2 linked regions of the Drosophila melanogaster genome follow. The protein of the gene in region 1 interacts with the protein of each later gene in a pairwise test. Each region holds a gene or a part of one and is shown in the gene's direction. Other genes may lie near its edges.

Region 1 (3,771 bases):
GGGAGCTGGGGAACGGCAAAGTACAAACGTCATGCGTGTTCTATGTAGTATATAGGAACATATCTCGGATCAAGTTGAGTGACAACTGGCAGTCGAGCGGGAACTTATACGGCCAACCGAATATTATCTTTGGGCTAGCGTTGCGGTGTCTGGTCTATTTGTTCAATATGCTCTATAAATATGATTGTCAATTGAGCGCCAAGCAAATGCATTTTCCCATTTTCCTCGCATTTTCCCCGCATTTTCCGCTCTCTCTCTCTCGCACTTAGAGCACAAAATGGGGCGTTTTATGTAAGTCTATAAATTAAAACATGAAACGCTTATAAATCCATATGACTGCTGGTTGTGGCAGCAATGCACTTTCTTTTTTGATTTGATAAAATTTTCAAAAGCATTATTAACTTTGCATTTATATTATATTTTTAAATATTCAATAATTAAAATTAATTGTGAGCAAATAGTATGTGAGTGAATGCACAATTATCTTAACCACACAAAATGGCTTAAAATAAACACGAAACTATGAAGAATTTTACATTTATTATATTATTATATATATTAAAAATTTAGTAATTATTTTTTTTTATGTATGTAATTAAGCAGTGTTCTTAAGTACAAAGGTCCTTCTGCAGACTGATTTAGCCGTCAGTAAGACAATCACTGGGTTATTAATCCCATACCCTTTTGTGTCAAGATTTTCAGCGATTCCTTGGGGCATCCATCACTTGCCTCAAGTGCAGCATATGCATTCCGGGGGTTTGGTTGCATATCTGAAGTGCTTACAACAAAATACACTTATCAGCAATGAGTGTGTCAATTACATGCCGCCACACCCTCACCCTTTCTCAACATAGGAAAGCAGTGGCAACATTGGGCAATGTGTTGAGTGCGATGATGCAGTGCAGCGAGCTGTTAATGAGGCTCATTATTAATATGGCAACGATATGTTTGCGTCATGAGCAATGAGCTGGCTGCAAAGGGAATTTACACGCGCTGCCCTGTCAGCAGCAAGATCAAAGCACAGCCTCCACTGGATGTACTCACTCCAAATCCTCCCTAGTCCCAGTCCCATGGCCATAATGTGTTATGAGTTATTGACGGAGTGGGTAGATGATCCGCTTCCTGGGAGCCCAGATCGCCAATTCCACAGTTGTACAGATCTCCAGCTCTCCGGCTTGTCAGCAGCTGACAGCGCCATGTCATAGCAATTTGCCCGGCTGTAGGTGTTCCATGTCAACTCCAACGGCACATCGCCACCTACCCGGGATGTCGGTGTGTAATGCCCTCTGACAGGCAGGCACTCAAATTGAATACTCAATGCTCACAGCACGGACGACCGACGAACTGGATACCATTTAGCGTTAGATTTATTTCGGGCATTAAACGCAGATCGCATTTCAAAAGACGGTACTCTGGTACACTAACAAAAATGGGGACAAATTGAAGGCTGAAGTGAAAATATTGATGCCACAATAGATGGCACGCACATTTGTAAAATAAAATATGTATTTGAATGTAAGTATATAAGTTCATACTCATTTCTTCTGGATAACATTCCACACTAATTTATTCTCAGTGCATCTGCAACCATTTCCCAAATGCACACGAGATGGGCACTTAAGAGATCTCCAGGCGCCGGATGTGCGCTATTTTTCCCATATATAGTACATGTCACTCTCTCCCAAACATACTTACATATCCGAATCCCATTTTCCGAGCTGGAAAAAAGTGCAAGTTACAAATGCGTATAGATAAGCATAGACCATCATGCAGCGGTCGTATTTTCCCAATCCGATTCGCCTCGGCGATAAGATTAGATTAGGGGGCCACCCACCACCAGATGGGGGAGCACGGATAGGCAAATTAGATGGCCCAAATGCCATCAAACACCGCATAGCCGTTACCAAAATGCGACGTCCGCTCTCGCCGACATTGGCCAAGTTGGCCGAGCAGGAGGTGAACGAGACGCCCGACAGGATTCAGCAGGATATTATCATCCTGCGCGTGTGGATTCGCCAGCAGCCGCATCTGCGCGCCCGCACAGATGTGGACTTCCTGATCGCCTTCCTCAGACGCTGCCGTTACAGCCTGGAGGAGACCAAGCGCCGGATCGATCGCTACTTCACCCACTACAATCTATTTCCGGAGATCATGAATAACCGCTGTGTGACTCAAAGACTTCTGGACATCAATCGGATGGGGTGAGCTAATGTTATTCCAACATTTGAAGTTAGTCATTTATCTTAAGACGCTGGTTTTGCTCTTAGAGTTTGTCTCTATCCGGATATGCCAAAGGGTGATAGCCGTAGTGCCATGTTTATAGCCCGTTTCGGTCATTTCGATCCCAATTTGTACATGCTGCGGGAGATCTATCATTTTTCGTCGATGGCCATGGAGGTGATTGCGCTGGAGAATGACTATGCCAGCTTGGCGGGAATCTGCGAAATAATTGACCTCGAGGGCGTCAACTCGGATAAGATGCGACGCTTTGATAGGGTTCTATTTCGCAAATGGTGGAACTGGCTCTACAATTGCAGCCCCCTTAAAGTGAAGGAGATGTATATCATAAATATGCCCAAGGATATTCAGGGTACCGTCATGTTTCTGTACAACGTGCTTAGCATGCAAGTCAACTATCCGGTGGGTATTGATAACTTAATCAGCAAGTTATCACCTTCGTGATAAAATTGTTTTTATAAAGTAACCATTAGAGATTCAGTACCAATTAAGGCTAGATATGTTTATCTTATTTCAGATACGCGTGCTGAAGAACAGCGAAGAGCTAATCGAGCACATTGGCAAGGAATCGCTGCCGGAGGAGTATGGCGGTACCAATGGACATTTGGGTGAATGTGTGGCCTACATGGAGGACCTGTTGAATAGCTATCGTGGTTATTTCGAGCAGGACTGCAACTACGGGACCATTGAGGAGCTGCGGCACGGCGAAATAGCCACATATGAGGCGGAATTTGGAGCCAATGGCTCCTTCCGTCGTCTCAATTGGGATTGATACCAGCACGGAAGCAGGAAACCTAGACCCTCCCTCCCACAATAGCGTTTATCCATATAAACATTCCAAACTCTGCTGTAGTCGATCAATTAAAGATAACACCCACTTATCAACTATCTATGCACTCGTGTATCTATATCTAACTGACTGCCGACGGGTTTCGGCTCGCCGTTCCAGCTAGTTTACAAGGTGTTGCCCCGATTAGATAAGCGATGCCGCCGCAAAAGCCAATACCATCACTACCACGGCGCTGCGTCAGTGGTTTTGGCATTCAGTTACTAATGAACCGAGCGCCGGAATGGCGAACACCCTGAGAACTCTCGACCCAAAGTTGGCGGCTCTGGCCAAAAGTGAGTGCAACGAGGAGCAGGCGCAGCGAGCGGAGATTATTGCCACCATTAAGACATGGATCACCAAGTCGCCGCACCTTAAGGCGCCCACGGATGAGCAGCTTATCCTGGCCTTTCTGCGGCGTTGCCGTTTCAGCCAGGAGGAGACCAAACGGCGATTCGACAACTACTACTCCCTGCGCAGCGTGTTCCCGGAGGTTCTGGGATCCCGACAGGTGGACGAGGCCCTGCTCACCCAGTTGCAACGCGGGTGGGTTGAATGTTCCATTTGCTATATACCCTTTTTGCCTTAGGCTGCTAAATATTTCACAAAACCATACAGAATACAGCTTTCTAATCAGTGGTGTTAAACGTAACAAACATTATCAATAATAATTTATTCACTATCTATGTGAATTTCTGACTGGAAAT
Region 2 (4,019 bases), on another chromosome or scaffold:
CTCGCGTCGTAATTAACATTAATTTCGTATAAACTTTGGCACATTGCGTATACGCCATGTGTGCGAGTGTCACTCGCAGTAATATTATCATACAGCATACACTGAGCATTCAGCAAGCGAACAAAATTTCAGGCGATATTCGCAATTAAAATCATTAAATGCTTAATAAACTTTGGAGATAATGACAATATTAGCGCAGTTTACTTTGCTCAATATATGGTTCCTTGTCGATATTCCATCCTTTTCGATAAGAGAACCCATGTTCTGCGCGTTTTTTCTTCGAGTGCTGAGGTGATACTAGATTGTCGTACCACACAAATTAACTGCGAGCACAATTGTTTTACACATTGTTGTCTGGGTTGTTGTCAAGACAGCAGCAGGGAAATGGAAATCTTTATGTGTGGATATGTGCCTTATGAACCCTTCGCTTAACCCCACTGCATCCCGGGGGTCTGTGTGCGTGCAAATGTGCGAGCTCAAAGTTGAATTTTCTTCAATTGACCTTTTAAAATCCTTTCCTTGTTGGTTCTTAATACAAGCACTTCTTGAATGCTGATTCGCTGACAAAAATGTTTTCTTATTTGTTTCAGGTGAGGGTTGCTTATGATGAAGAAGGCTACTTTCCTTTTAGGTAGATATCAAATTGTAAAAACTCAATTAAAGCAAACGGTAAGCAATGAAAATCCGTCTTAAAGATATCATCGAATCTAGAGATACAGCGGCTTTGGCCTGTTTGCCATTTGCGGTTGGCTGCACTGTAAGCTGACAATTGCAGCTCAAAAGCTCGAAAAGGAAAAGCGATACCAAGTGGGAAGAGCGGAAAACCCAGGGAGCATGGCTAAGGAAAGAGAGGTGGAGTTTTCCCCTCGAAACTAATGAAGTAAAAGCGAAGTAAAAGGGAGAAAGCCATAAACAAACGGCGCGAGCACGTGACTCAGCTCGTTTTTATTATTGTTACCAAGTTGCGCGACATAAATGTATAAAAGGTCCCAAAAAATACTTATTAATTGAAATAACGTTCTTCATTTATGTTTTTATCTCTTCATGCATCTTGTCCTCATTAGCTTAAATAAATTACAATCGGAATCAATTTAAATATACACTTGCTATACAGAAGTTTTTAAATATCTAATACATATTACAGTGAATAAATTAACAAAAGCTATCCAAATAATCAGTGTTATTATGAAATTGGTTTATGAAATTGGTTTAAAATTTGTTTTGATTTAATCAGTCATAATCTTTTAAATTTATTGAAGGTCTTGACATATGTTGATTGAACTCCGATTTTACTGCAATAGACCGCACTTCCTCTGCGGCGGTTCATTCCATTGTCGATTTGAAACTAAAGGAGTTGCCAGTGGGAGGTGGACGAAAGTAGTGGCGTGGGAGGGGGGTGGCCACAGGGAGTTTGCAGTCCTAGTCCGACTGTTGCCCTCTCCCTTGGAAGCGATTCCCCCTCCCCCCTTTTTACCCCTAGTTGCATTTCGTTGTTCTACAGAGGCAACTTGAGTTTTGTTTGTGTTTTGCTTTGTCTTGTATGTTGACACATTTTTCTTTCGCATTTTCTTTTTCAACTATGTATGCATGTGTGTGCGAAACCGGAAATTACAAATGCAACAAAATGTTCTCCAGAGTTTTGATAGCATTGTCTCAGTTGCAGTCTAGGAATCTCTTCTAAAGACGATAATTCCACGCTCGTGACTCCGTCATGGAACTCATTAAAAGAATCACATAATATTAACTTGAAACCGTTAGAAAAAAAAAATAAACAAGTAGTTTGTGAAATAAGTAATCAAAAGTTGATTTCATTTGTTCTAACCTTCTGTCATCAGTATAATTTTACGTCGAGACGTCAACAGTTCGACTCACACAGAATTATAATCACAAAAAAAAAAAACCGACATTTTCTTAAAAATTCCTAAATGGAGAACAACAATTGCGAGGGCGAGCAACCATCGACATCCGGTGCATTCTGTAGGTGCTCCGAGTCTGGCATTGGTATATCTGCCGTCCTGGATCTCGCTCAGTCGGAGTACTCCCTGGACACCACGCCGGAAGCTGTGATGGCGAGTGCATGTCGTCTGGAGAACGAGAACGATGGTAATGATACCGATGAGGAGGTGGAGATCTGCTTCACCAGCTTGATGCCCGATCACCGTAGGCGCTTGTATATGGACTGCAAGCTGTCTCTTCCGGCGGGCGGAAGAGTGCCCATGCGCGGCGGCGCAGAAGCCATTTCCGCTTCCCCACATGGCAGAATCAGTTCTCCGGAAATTCGCTATGAGCGGCTGAGAAATACTGCAGTCGAGGTGCGCAAATACTGGAGATTGCAGAAGCTGGACATGGCTTGTCCGCTGAGCAATTGCGACTTGATGTTCAATCCTGAGCAGCTCCTAAGTCACTGCCTGATGCACCACGAGCACATTATTACAATGGAAATGAAGCCCAAGGAGCCAAAGGTTCTGAAGCTGTGTGGAAAATCCTTGCCCGAGGACAGGGGCAAAAGCAACTGTGTGGGTCTGATGATCTACGAGAGTGGCAACAACGCGACCAGGAACTTAAATCTACCCAATATCTACAAGGACTGGGAGTGCCAATTGCCCGTCCTGATAATGCTGTGGAAGACTTCCTGGGACTCGATGCCCGTCGGACCGCGAGTGACCCATATCTATATTCTGTGGCTGTGCTGTCCCCAGGCCCAGACGCCTTTGTTGGTATCCGTGAATATCGGAGAAAACACTCCGGGAGTGCCACGTCGGCAGATGATTCAGACCTGTCAAGGCTCGGAGACCCTGAAGAATTGCGATCTGCTTTCGGACAGTCCGCATTTTATGCGATTCACACATCGCGAAATGAAGGAGCACACTGAAGACTACACGCTGGACGTCGACCTACAGTTCACCATTCTAGAGGATGAGGGTAGAGTGGGGCCCATATCGCCTAATCCTAATGAGGGCACCTTTCGCGAAGACGACATCGAAATAGAACTTGCGGAAAAGGAGAATACCTCCAAGGAGGAGGTATTTATTGGGAACTCAGAAGGGCCTCAAGCGAACTAAACGCAGTCTATCACAATGATTTTTGGAATGATTTTTCAAAATTATTTGCATTACTTTGATACTGTACCTAAAAATTGTTTCAAGTTTTTTTAAATTATTTTGGATCACTTTGTACTTGGACGAAATACCATATCTCATAAGCAATTCAACATATGCAATCTTGTAAATTTTCATCAAAATTGTATCAGTAAAGATCAAATTCCTTATTAGAACTAAAATTAAATTGTTATTAATTAATGCGATGACAAATTAGTTTGAAAGTGCCATTTACATCGTTCAATAGGTTTAAATAATTAATTGTTTAGTCGATAATAAAATAAAATAAATAATAGTTTCGAACTGCCATTAAATCGGCCCTTTGAGTTCAAACTTGTATGTATGGTATGTGTACATTTGAAAGTGCATCATAATGTTGAGTGTATTTGCAATTTTCTCGGTCAGACTGACAGCTTAATTTAATTATTCTTGAACACAAATGTTGTGGCAAACTCGCCCACTTAACCCGCTGTGTGTTTGCTTGGCCAAAAAGCTGTTCGCTGGAAATTTTTCGCTTACGCCGCAGCGTATGCAACATGTTTGCCATGTGGGGCAGGGGCGTCGTAAAAGAGGGGGACAAGGGCTGTTCGGTTTTGCTGTCCAGGTCGTTGGCAGCCATTAGCACAAATGTCGTCGCAAAAGGGGGCGTGGCGGGCAGAAGGAGGAGTAACTGCATCAACAACTTTTTAACCAACTTGCCAGCCCAGACTAACAAGACCGCAGAAATTGTGAACAGGGGTGTTGTGGAGAGGGGCCAAGGGGACTTGTGGCGGCAAACTAACTAACTCGATGCTTTTGCCTGGCACTTGTAATGTACCGTTATTGTTGCAACAGCACCGCCGGGGGTGGGCGGAGGTGGTTTTGGCTGCTTTGTCCGCGAAATACTTTTCTGTCCTTTTTATTCGGTTGCAAAAAAAAAAA

The links.
Region 2: the proteins of CG10301 (region 1) and CG1314 interact in a two-hybrid assay, tested with the Drosophila melanogaster proteins (one large-scale study listed by BioGRID).

Annotation. Positions count from the first base shown.
Region 1 is NT_033777.3:23,708,250-23,712,020, forward strand, and holds CG10301 (uncharacterized protein), read left to right. Parts: upstream 1-1,908; coding exon 1,909-2,201; intron 2,202-2,267; coding exon 2,268-2,640; intron 2,641-2,755; coding exon 2,756-3,010; 3' UTR 3,011-3,089; downstream 3,090-3,771. Other genes in the region: CG10300 (uncharacterized protein), read left to right, coding at 3,309-3,610.
Region 2 is NC_004354.4:20,867,246-20,871,264, reverse strand, and holds CG1314 (uncharacterized protein), read left to right. Parts: upstream 1-1,867; 5' UTR 1,868-1,925; coding exon 1,926-3,062; 3' UTR 3,063-3,276; downstream 3,277-4,019.